Arabidopsis thaliana: one gene and its partner. The protein of the gene in region 2 interacts with the protein of the main gene of each other region in a pairwise test. Each region holds a gene or a part of one and is shown on either strand. Other genes may lie near its edges. The genes, in order: NRT1.5 and AT1G47670.

The links.
Region 1: the proteins of AT1G47670 (region 2) and NRT1.5 interact in a protein complementation assay, tested with the Arabidopsis thaliana proteins (one large-scale study listed by BioGRID).

The regions. Positions count from the first base shown.
Region 1 is NC_003070.9:11,714,599-11,721,961, reverse strand, and holds NRT1.5 (nitrate transporter 1.5), read left to right. Parts: upstream 1-1,973; 5' UTR 1,974-2,154; coding exon 2,155-2,184; intron 2,185-2,889; coding exon 2,890-3,004; intron 3,005-4,659; coding exon 4,660-4,877; intron 4,878-4,970; coding exon 4,971-5,542; intron 5,543-5,621; coding exon 5,622-6,120; intron 6,121-6,214; coding exon 6,215-6,625; 3' UTR 6,626-6,815; downstream 6,816-7,363. Other genes in the region: PKp3 (plastidial pyruvate kinase 3), read right to left, coding at 6,999-7,118, 7,201-7,309. UniProt on the Arabidopsis thaliana protein: Low-affinity proton-dependent bidirectional nitrate transporter. Involved in nitrate loading into xylem and not in nitrate uptake. Not involved in histidine or dipeptides transport.
Region 2 is NC_003070.9:17,536,084-17,541,584, forward strand, and holds AT1G47670 (Transmembrane amino acid transporter family protein), read right to left. Parts: upstream 3,637-5,501; 5' UTR 3,404-3,636; coding exon 3,027-3,403; intron 2,332-3,026; coding exon 2,198-2,331; intron 2,068-2,197; coding exon 1,640-2,067; intron 1,558-1,639; coding exon 1,426-1,557; intron 1,240-1,425; coding exon 751-1,239; 3' UTR 542-750; downstream 1-541. Other genes in the region: AT1G47680 (uncharacterized protein), read left to right, coding at 4,692-5,006. UniProt on the Arabidopsis thaliana protein: Amino acid transporter.

The DNA of each region.
Region 1 (7,363 bases), 5.8 Mb from region 2:
TCGTAGATTATCATCCCGTATGAGTATCAACCCAAACTCGTTCCACCAGATAACTTCATTTCGTAAAATTAAATAATATTTTTATTATTTTAAATATTCTTATTGTAATATATTAAAAATCAAGGGATTGACCTGTGGTAGATCTTGGATTAATATATTTAAAAATAATTTGTGATTTATAAATTTATGATATTGAAGTATATAAAACCGATATTTAATGTATACCTTTCAATAATTATATAAAGTATATTTTAAAAGTCAAAATTTGTATAAATTGATATTGCAACCTCATGAAATCGTAGTGATTTACACGTAGGGTACCACAAGCTAATTTTTATTTTATTTTTAATAAACTGATAAATTTGTTGATTTTAGTTAAAATTAAAACATAAATTAAGTTATATTTGTTTTGTTTATTGTTTCAGATTGTATAACTATATTTTGATTGTTAATTCCATAATTTTATCTGTTGTATAATATTGACCAACACCCGGCTAGTTTTTTGTAATCTAATGTTGACCCTGAAAGAAAAATCTATAAGCATACGCATAAATGGATAGTAAAATTAGGAGATAAATATCATTAGAACATGAAGTAATTTACATATGAATCTCTATCTATTTTTTTAAGGAATCAATATTCTAGATTGATTGTGAGGCAATATGAATGTATGCATAACATTTATAAGAGATAGATTGTACATAAAATTAGATTTTAATTTGGATTCAATTTTAGCTTTACTGGAAAAAAACTAATCTGAATTACATATTTTAAATTTAGGATAACGAAAATATTTTTTTTTAAAGCTAAAATTAGATCTCAACGATTTTGGTATGTTTTTAAATTAAACTTATCCTTATACATTATCGCAAATATGGTAGTCATTATTGTTCGAATACAATTAATGATCTGCCAAAAAAATCATATTAGTGATGGTTCTCATTTTGAATATTTGCATTAAAATTTTTAAATATTGGTATTTAAACTTTGTTTTACTATTTAAAAATAAATAAATAATTTAATCTAGTATAATGAATATTTCAAAAGCTTGTAACTATTATAATACGTTTAAAAATATATTTTCTTTTATATAATTCAAATTTAGCTTAGTGATATATTTTTAAAATAATGAAAATTACTTGTTTTAAAAAAAAAGTACTTTAAACGTTTATATCATTTAAATTCTAATTAAAATATTAAATATATACTGAAACCATTTTCTAGATAATTACAAATCTAAAATCCAAAAATTTTCTTAATTTATTGATTTAAATCATTTTTTAAAAAAGAAAAATTGAAGATATTTATTTAGTTGGAGTAGTTGTTAATTTACTAAATTACCCATGCAAAAATATTCATTTAGTTAGTTTTAAACTACCCTTACAATGTTGTAGTTCACACAATGCTTCCCAATTAATAGTATACATGTGTGATCACGAGTGTTCAACATAAAATATAATGTAACTTCAGGAATAGAAAGATATTCTTTTTTCTTTTAGAATTTGAAATCTAAATTGGATATAAGAAATTATTCGAACCTTCAATTTTTTCAGTCTATACGTACTTATTTAATTTAATGTGGTACCTCTTTTTTCTAACAACAAATATTTTGGGATTTTCCGTTGTAGTGAAATTTATAGAATCATTAATTAAATCTATTTCTACCAAACGTTTAAGTTTTGCTACGAAAATAAATAAATAAATATCCTCCGACCATCAGCCTCAGCCACATCCCCAAGTTTCGAAAGCACAAGAAGCCTTTCAGCGCCAGAGAAAACAAAATTATTGGGTGGAAAATGCAAATATTGATTTCCTAAATAATTAAAATTGTGCTTTTGAGCTTTTTTTTTCATCGTGCTAAAGTATTTTTTCAGAAACAAAACAATTAAAAATAGATATTGGGCATGTGAGTGTCCCATGTAAAATCAGAACCGTTCAAATCATCTTCCAAACTTCTATTTATTCTCAACATTCTCTTCTCTACAACACCCAAGCTTGAACTTGCTTTCTGCTTCTTCCTTCTTCGTCCTTTGTTTTAATTCTCTCATATCACTTACGAAAAGAAGAAAGAAAAAAAACACCAAAACTAAAGAGAAATTTCGTTATCACTCTCTTGCCAAAACTCACATACATATAATCATATATCATCGCAAAATGTCTTGCCTAGAGATTTATAACAAAGACGTAAGTAATATTTAAGCTTGTCCCTTCAATTGTTTCTTTATTTTCTTTGATATATTAATCAGAGTTTGAAGTAATGGACCTTTGCTTTTCTTCCTTATAAGATTTTGATTATCTGATTAAGGCTCTTGTTTCTTGAATTTCATATGTGACTACAAAAGGAAATATTTTCTTTTTAAGTTACTCATTGTTATAGTAAAAACTTTCTAAGCTTTTGGTGGCTCAAGAAGAGCATGATCAAAAGGACATGCTTAGTGCAATGGAAAGTCACGATCTTTATGTGCAAAAACTTAGCTCAACATCTTTTCTTTTTCTTCAAATTTCTTTTTAATACACCATACTTTTTAATTAATTAGCTCTATTATATCTAATCTTCTTAATTTAAATATATAGATGTAAGTATTTTTCCGTTTAGTGCTGTCATTGAAAGTTGAGAATGATTCCAAATGATCTTGAAAATTGTGTATACGAAACGAGAATTACGTGCCAATACAAAAAGTAAGAGTTAAAAAAAAAAAACGTTTTTAGTTTTTGGTTAAGTTCCGGAAAATACAAAACTATCGAACTCATGAATCTTCTCCATATCAAGAGCACAAAAGGTTGTAGAGACTAGTAGATAATTAGGCATATAAAGCATCTTTCTATATATTTATAGATAAATTGATGTGTGTGTATCAGTTAATTAAATTTAACTAAATGAAAATGCAGACGATGAAGAAGAAAGAAGGAGAAGAAGAAACAAGAGATGGGACAGTGGATTACTATGGTCGTCCCTCTATTCGTTCTAACTCAGGCCAATGGGTTGCTGGCATCGTCATTCTTCGTATGTCTCTCTTCCCTAATCAAAATTACAATTTAACTATATATCAAATTGAAATAAATATATAGTTTTGCTAAGAAATCAACTCTAGAATATAAACCAAAGCGGAGGAAAATATATGATCGACACCTTAAAACATAGAATCTTTTATTTTATTTTATTTTGTTCTTCACGTCCTTTTCTCAAAGATACCACATGCAAACTCATAGCATCTTTGCATAAGGTATATTCAGTGCCGGTCCCTATATAATTCATGGATTCAAATCATTAGTATGGCTTAATACATGATTTGTATATTTCTACACACATGTTTACATTATTTTGTATATAAAATTATGTGTAGCGTATAAATTGAGATATATATCCCGACAAAAAAACGTATGAATTGAACTGACAAGGGAAAAAAACTAGATACCGATATGATGTATATCTAAAAGTGTGTAGATTGATTGATATGCATACTTATCTTTGAGGTAATAAGTTATCAGAAACTAGGAAAGTGACAATAGAACCAACATTAATAACTAGAATTAACTTCGAATTTTACGTGAACGTGTCAAGACATATCCATGTGTTCGAACGTACGCTGCATGTTTTGGTAGAAAAACCCCAACCACATGACAAATGCATATAATTTTTTGTTGTATAACGGACGCATCATTAATGAATTTCCAGACTTATCTAGTAAATTTCCCATAAATTCTTGCTATTTTTTATTTATTAATTATAGGGATCCCAACAATTATAGTACTTATGTAAAGCAAAAAGAATACTTATGATGAAAAATAGTTATTATATAATAAACATATGTGTACTTTTCAATCATTTTCTCCAAAAAACAAAATACTAATAATTCAAACGCAACTAATGTGATGTAAGAGATCTGAATGATTGAGTGTTTTTGTTAAAATTAATGGATCTAGTTTGTCATTTAGAAAATAACTGAAAGTGAAAACATTCAGATTTGTAAGTGATTCTATATATGGAGATAGATATTTAGGTTTTTTAAAGATACTTTTATGGAATTTAACCAAAAAAAGGAAAAAAAGTTATTTTGAGAAAGTCGACACTAATAAATTAAAATAAGTGCAAGGAAAGCATGTGTTAGTGGAATTACGTTGCCTTACACGTAATTACCCATCTCGTCGTCCCATGACGTTGGCTTTTGCCACGTCCACTTCTTCACATTTTTCTCCTAACATTTTCAAATTTTGCTTTACAAAATTATGTTACTATTAAATTATATTTTAAGAATATTACACAAAGCATTTATTTTTATACAAAGTACAATTTAAGAGATTCTAGTGGGTTTTCTTTTTGGTTTGATGATTTATTAGTAGAGTCCACGTAATAGTTTTAATAATTATTATTAGTTAACGATTTGTATTTCGCATGAAGAATTTAATTTGCTAAAATTGTAGTTATTTGTAGATTTCATTATCATTTTTTTATTTGATTTCGTTAGAAGGTGGAACAATAATGAAGTAGTCATTAAATACAATCCAACCAAAGAAATGTTAACATCATCTTGACGAACACGGAACAATTATTAACAATCATTCATTCAATTCTTTCATCTATTCTGGTTTCTTTCAAATCAATAATAATTTGGTTAACTCTCTCTAAACCGGGTTCTAATCTAATTTTCCGGTTAACAGTGAACCAGGGGCTGGCTACACTAGCCTTCTTTGGAGTTGGAGTGAACTTGGTGCTCTTCCTAACTCGCGTTTTGCAGCAGAACAACGCAGACGCAGCTAACAACGTTAGCAAATGGACAGGGACTGTTTATATCTTCTCATTGGTTGGAGCGTTTCTCAGCGATTCGTATTGGGGTCGTTACAAGACTTGTGCTATCTTCCAAGTCATTTTTGTCATTGTAAGTAATAGCAACTATCAAAATGTGATTCATCTTTTTTAAGTTGGAACGTTTTAAGCTCATAAGAACGCTTTTTTGGATGTGAAAACGCAGGGACTTTCATCGCTATCGCTATCATCATACATGTTCTTGATTAGACCAAGAGGTTGTGGGGACGAAGTCACGCCTTGTGGTTCACATTCCATGATGGAGATCACAATGTTCTACTTCTCGATCTACTTGATCGCATTGGGATATGGCGGTTACCAACCAAACATTGCAACGCTTGGAGCGGATCAGTTCGATGAGGAGCATCCTAAAGAAGGGTACTCGAAGATTGCGTTTTTCAGCTACTTTTACCTTGCTTTAAACCTCGGATCGCTCTTTTCGAACACCATCTTGGGGTATTTTGAGGATGAGGGAATGTGGGCACTCGGGTTTTGGGCATCCACTGGCTCTGCTATCATTGGGTTGATTCTTTTCCTTGTTGGAACACCGAGATACCGATATTTCAAGCCCACGGGGAATCCTCTTTCGAGGTTTTGCCAAGTTTTGGTCGCTGCAACGAAGAAATCATCGGTGGAGGCACCATTAAGAGGGAGAGAGGAGATGTATGACGGAGACAGCGAAGGGAAAAATGCTTCAGTTAACACAGGGAGAAGGATAGTGCATACCGATGAATTCAAGTAAGTCACCAAAAATTGCAGTTTCACCATATACTTCAATGCCATGAAGTGTTCTAACATGTTCCTTTTGGAATTTCAGGTTCTTGGACAAAGCAGCGTACATCACAGCTAGAGATCTAGATGACAAGAAACAAGACTCAGTGAACCCATGGAGGCTCTGTCCAGTGACACAAGTCGAGGAAGTCAAGTGTATTCTTAGACTGATGCCAATTTGGCTCTGCACTATAATCTACTCAGTCGTCTTCACTCAAATGGCCTCTCTCTTTGTGGAGCAAGGCGCTGCAATGAATACCTCTGTCTCAGATTTCAAAATCCCCCCGGCAAGTATGTCCAGCTTCGACATCCTTAGCGTCGCTTTGTTCATATTCCTGTACCGCAGAGTTCTCGAGCCAGTAGCCAACAGATTCAAAAAGAATGGATCAAAAGGAATCACCGAGCTTCACAGGATGGGAATCGGACTTGTGATTGCTGTCATAGCTATGATTGCAGCCGGGATTGTGGAATGCTATAGGCTTAAGTATGCAGACAAGAGTTGTACTCACTGTGATGGCTCAAGCTCCTTAAGCATCTTCTGGCAGGTAATGAACACAGACCTTAAAACTCACTTTGGTCCTAAAATCAACAACTTACAAAAGAAACTTCCGAGTATTGACACTCTTCTACTCTTTGCAGGCTCCACAATACTCACTCATCGGGGCATCAGAAGTGTTCATGTACGTGGGTCAGCTTGAGTTCTTCAACGCGCAAACACCAGACGGACTAAAGAGCTTCGGGAGCGCTCTGTGTATGATGTCAATGTCAATGGGGAACTTTGTTAGTAGCTTGTTGGTAACAATGGTGGTGAAGATCTCAACAGAGGATCACATGCCTGGTTGGATTCCAAGGAATCTCAACAAAGGTCACTTAGACAGATTCTATTTCCTCCTGGCTGCGTTGACGAGCATTGACCTGGTGGTATACATTGCATGTGCAAAATGGTACAAACCTATACAACTAGAAGGAAAAGATGAGATGCAAGACATGAGTGATGATGACTATGACACCGAGAGTGAAGAGGAACGAGAGAAGGATTCTAAAGTCTAACAAATGTGTGTTTGGTTTTCAGTTTTCCGGTGATGTAACAGCAAACTGATTCATAAATAAAAGGCTAAATCGGATCAGTCTTTTTCGTCGAAAAGACTTCTTCTTTAAACTCCTAAGCTCTAAAGACTTAACTGTAATGTGTTATATGGGTTACTCTTACCAATAAGTAATCAGATGAGATAGACAGAAATCCTCCATGACATATCAAACATTTAGGTACTAAACTATAACCAGAAAAAAAGCTTCAATAACTTAAAATTTTATATGGTTGTTTGATTCACTGTGAGTGATTCAAAAAAATATGGATCGAACTGTGTAAGAGAAAGAAAGCTGAGTAAAAGCAAGATGTTGTGTAGCTCAAGAAGTAAAAACATCATCCACCTATCTTTATCTTACGGACTTGTATGAGATGTGTTGATTCTTCACGCCAAATGGGTTGCGAGCCACTTTGGACAAGAGTTACATGTTGTCCTTCCTTGAGCATATTCTCGTCCTGAGTGATGTATAAGTTAAGTGTAAGCAAAACTGCCGAAAATGTAATGTTTGATAGATGAGAAGGTACATGGTTAACGTACCTGTAAGAGTTTGAGAGACCGGGCATATGTATCTTCTGCATCATCCGAGAACTCCATATATATAGGCATGACACCTTGATAAAGAGCAAGCCTTTGCATTATTCTTCTCCTAAAGGAAATAAACCAAAAGATCGATCAAAACCCATTTCATCGATTAAAAGTT
Region 2 (5,501 bases):
GTTCTATTTGTGTTTGGGCCGAATTGGGCATGGAGGGCAAAGCCCGTATCCCACAATCTCATTGGCGGTCCGACACTTCACCTAGAACATGACAGAGAAATCGACTCGATGTACATTGAGGGTATTAAATGCGTAATAGACATGAAACCATGCACACATCTAAATTCTCATGTACAAAAAGACACTCTAAAAACATGCCCCGTATCTGCTCTTATACAAATCGTAGTGCAGTCGTCCGTCGACAGGGGTATACTTGTACATCAATTTTCATCAAACATGAGCTTCACCAATTCTTATGTCAAGTCGCTTGATATCAACATATGATATCATGTAATTCTATATACTTTCCCTCTTCCCGCAGGATCCAAAAAGTTGTGCAGAACAAAAGATCATCCGAGAATATCATCTTTCATACACTAAAACGATTACTTTGAATCCGAATTCTTGATCTAGCTTAATTTAGTTTAATACTCATGTATCGTTATTTTTAGTAGTATCAAAATAATTTGAAAAAAAGATGGAAAAGAGAAAACCACGTTGGGAAAATTCCAGCTAGGGATTCAACAGAGGCACACAAGTGTGATTCTTCAAAATTCCAAATTCTTTATATTGAAAAGCTTACTGAATTATAATACACATTACATTGTTCCAACTTCAAAACATAGGCACTCTTAAACAAAACACAGAAATACAAAATCTCTTAAAACTTCAAACTTCCCAACCAAACAAAACCACATAGGCTATTACTACTTAGTTAGGCGGCTTGAAGAACTTGAGCTTAAGTCCATTGGTAACCATACTCCAGATCCCACCTATGGAGAATGCCAAGCTGAATGCAACTCCCAACCAACCTAATCCCCAATGGAAATACCAATTGAAACTGTATTTCGCCGGTTTCTTAATCAAGACCCACATGAAGCAAGGATAAGCAAATGTGACCGGGAGAGTGAGTCCACCGAGCAACCCCGCAAGACTAGACAGAAAAGGGAGAGCAACACCGATGAAAAACGAGACAAAACCAAAAAAGACTCGGAAACCTGATCTGACCCAAATCGAACACGGCTTGTTGGTTCTGCTTGTGTAGCCAGCTTCAAAGCTGTCAAAGGCAGGCATGGAGTATATCTGAAAACTGCTCAAGCAGCTGAAGACTACTAGGAGAAATGCCGTCGCTAATAAGCCTCTCGGGATATCGTGAATGTGGAATGCATACAAAGCAGCAAGCATACCTCCTGAAGGCATCTATAAGACCAAGAAAAAATAACTTCAAACTAATCCGGAAATTGAACCAAAGATCAGAAAACGAACTATAAATAAATGATATTAGTGTTCCTTTTGAATTCTATATTTCACTAACATGAACCAAACACCAGATAAACATCCTTCACTGACAAGACATAAACAAAAGATATAGTAAATGGAACTTACAAGGTTCCCATAAGCCCAAAAGCCTCCGATGGAGATTGGAAAGATACACAGAGCAATGAGGAAGTAAGAGATTTTGGCTCCTCTCCACATTGGTACGTGAGCAGGATGCTTAAACGTTGATGGCATCGTCGACTACAAAGTTTTCAATACTCAGAATAAATCATAAGTCCAATATGTGCATTATCTATAGACAGAAATATTTTGCATATTTTACCTGAATTTCCAAAACCAAGTTGTGACCTCTGAAGGCAAAAGCTATAATGCCAAGAGCATTCAAAACAGCGAAGAGTGAACCAGAAGTCGAAGGCATAGAAAGAGGCTCGTATGAGATAGTGGCTGGTCTTGGTTGGCTCACAGAGAGAACCCAAACCATTGTGGAGTAAGTTATTGCAGTCACTGCTCCTATTAAGGAGAGTCCCGCAATAGAATTGAGGTTTGGTAGCTGAGACAGAACGATGCAGAGAGATGTAAACACCAAATACCATTCAACTGTTGTTAACGGATTCGAGGTGCATAATGGACCGCAAACTATCTGGAAGAAGAGTTTCATTGTCTCTCCACCGATCAGAATCAGCGCTGTCGCGGTTCCTGCTGATAAGTAAACCGTAGGAAACAATGCAAGCCATACTCCTAACCTTTCTCCTGTTCCAATCAAGAGTACAAGATTTAGTAATAGCAACTTAGCAAGACACAAAATTAGTATCAATAATAATTGTCACTATTGATGCATTATTTCATCATTCTTAATGTAAAACTAAATTTATCATTTTACCAAAAGCAGCTTGTGCAAGCTCGACATATCGATTGTAGCGTTTCCCGGGGACAGCTTCGTGCAACTGAACCAGAATCCACAGTGTGTAGAGTTGCCAGCAATATGCTATTGTTAAAGACAGTATTCCCCAACTCCTGTAACAACAATAATTCACTTCTTGAAGTTTGGAAATAATATATGTGCATTTTCTTACATAAGAATCTCAAATACATGATCATTGCAATATCATTATTCATCACTAAGCTATTTAAGTATTGAACTAGCCAAATGCTCCACCTTAACAAGTTATGTATAGTTTCAAATATTAGAACTTGCAATAAAAAATATTTATCTAAATATAAGTTTATAAGAAGAAATAGTCATCTATTATGACGTCAACTACATGCCCTACTTATATATACACAATAAATACTTTTCAGAAAAGTGTTTTTTGCCGGAAATTAACAAGAAACAAAGTAGACGATAAAGAAGGCTCTGTCTTAATCCAAATTAAAGCAAAAAAGTATGTCTGTGAGTATCCACATGTGTAATGATGGAAGCATGACAAATTAAAAAGAAAATATCTACTGCTAAAATTGAAATGTTTTCAAAGTTAAAAAGTAAATTAGTCAATATCCTATTATTATTTCCGACAAGAAAAACATTTTTGATTTTTGCCCAAACAAGTAAAGTGAACCCTGAAACTGGATCTGAGCACCACAGAGAGTCGAATAAACCCTCGCCGTTCACTAAACAAAAATAATCTTGAAACACTAAACACAAAGTTCAAGAAAAAACTCAAAAACAAGAAAAAAGATTATTGGAAAAATCAAGAAAAACGCAAACGCACCAGCCAAGAAACGCAAACGCGACGGGAAGAACAAGGGCTTGAAAACCAACACCAGCGTTGAGATTGTGAAAAGCAGCGTAATGAGCGTTTCCATTACGAGATTCAGTGATTGGAAGCCAAGCATCTTGTGGGTTTAGCTTAGTGAGATGACCAACTTCTTCAAGATACCCTTTCATGTTCACAAGAACTCGTTTCATTGGTGTACCAATCGGACTCAAGAACCTCGGTGATATGAACGAAGTCGGAGTCCATGTCGCCGACGATGGTTTGGTGGCCGGACGAGGTGATCTTTGACCGGAGGGAGTTAGAATCTCCGGTGTTGAAACTCGTGGTGTGGCTGGTATTGATATTAGCTCTGTCTCGGGTCTTTCGTCCATTGGAGCAGGTGAAGAGTGCGAGAAGAAATGATGTTTTTTTTTTGTTCTCACTATCACTCTCTCTCTCACTCACTCCCTATTTAGAGGGGTGGTTTTTTTTAGGACAACTTTATTGGTATTGAAACAAATTTTTATTTAATTACAAGAAGAGGACAGATTAACTAACGAAATTTACAATTAAATGACAATCAAAGTTGATAATTAAAGAACATGACATGATTATTTATAATGGTCTCAACAGTAACAATTTTTTTTTTGTAACATTACGACAAAAGTAACCTTCCCCATCAATACAAAAGTTCTGAACATATGTTTGTTTGACCAGTAAGTACTAAGTATTATGATGGTGAGGTCAAGTTTTTGAACATTATGACCAATTTGTTTATTTTTTAGCAAAAAATTGACATGAAATAGGTGTTGATGATCATAATCACTTTAAGTTAGCTGAAATATTTCACCTTATCTGAGTGGAAAAATAACATTGATATATGTAAATTAAAAAATAACAATGAAATATGTAGATTAAAAAGTAACACTGAAATATCTTAGCAAAGTAAAAAGTAACACTTCAAACATGTAAATGAAAAAATAGAGAGAAGAATTTTTGAGGCCAAGCAAAATTTGCAACTCACCTTACTCTTTCATAAAAAAATTCAATACAACAATTTAATTTTACCAAGGGATTAGAGATATCGATTATATAAGGGAGTGAATGCACTATAACACCCTTCATAAACCACCATTAACTCAGTTTAAATATTTGATACAAAAATTTATCTTTGTTCTTTCTCTAATATGCATTATACAAAATAACTATTTAAAAGATTCGCAAACTCATTTCTTCAGTTTTTTACTTAAAAATAAGATAAATACATTTTGGAGTTGGATCTAAACTCAACATCACTTTTTGGATGATTGAAGATTTACAGGATATGCTTGTCTGAAAATAATAGATTTGGAGTTAGCAAAATCTTTGTATTCTAGTGATAAAATAGATACGAGTAAGCAAAATAAATTGATACACATAATTGTAATGAAGTTTGGTCTTTCAAACTACATCCATGGAATTACATAATTGCAAACGTATAAACCAAATCCATTTGCTCTGACCTACCACTAAGCTAAATTACATCTAAATTTAGAGTTTAGTCATGATTTGAAAAGGAAGAGTTACAAATTATGTCCAACTTGACGTTATTTGTATTTTATTTTCTTGTATCTCTTCTACCATCTACTAAAAGGAGATATCTTGCTCTTCAAGTTAGGAATTATCCAACATCACTTGTCGATGGACTTTCTACTGAAGCTACAAGGACATGACATGCTCGGTTATATCATATTGGAGTTGATTCACAGAGAAGATGTTGGAGAAGTACATGAAGAAGATGATGGCATGGAGGATATCACTAAAAAATACCATAATGAGGTTGGTGAAGTAGTTCAAGGAGTACCACAACTGAGAAGGTCGGGTCGACAAATAAGTCAGTCGCGGTACCTTGAAGACTATGTTATGCAGTCCGAAACAACTTATGGATTGTTCCACCAAGCTTATGTTAAAAGTAAGAGACGTCAACTTTCAACAAGTAATGAGCCAAGAGGCTAAAGATGTGCTTTAATGGAGGAAAGATGTGAAGAGGAGTTTGAATCAGTCAACAAGAACAAGATGGTTCCTTGTTGACATATTCATTCAAGTTTTGATCGGTTCAAAAGCTTTTCAAGAGTTTTAGAGAAGCAAGTCGGCTTGTCTATTAAAACCTTTTGTACCGATAAAGGAGGAGACTTTACTTCAAGGGAGTTCAATCGATGTTGCATAGAGGAGGAGTCTCCAGGTATCTAATGAAGATTCTAAATGATATGTGGAGAGAAGTCGTACGTCATTGAAAGATCATGGGACTACATCTAAAGAAACTAGATGAAGAGTCAAGAAGTATAATCACGAGGCTGCATCTCAAGAAGGTAGATGATTGGTCAATCTTGGAACTAAGTCAGATTTTAGAGATGTTTAAACCAAGTTGGGTTTTATTAGAGAATATCAAAACAAGCAAGGTCATGGTATTTGGGTGTTTTGTACTAGTCATTGAAGTACAAGTAATATTTA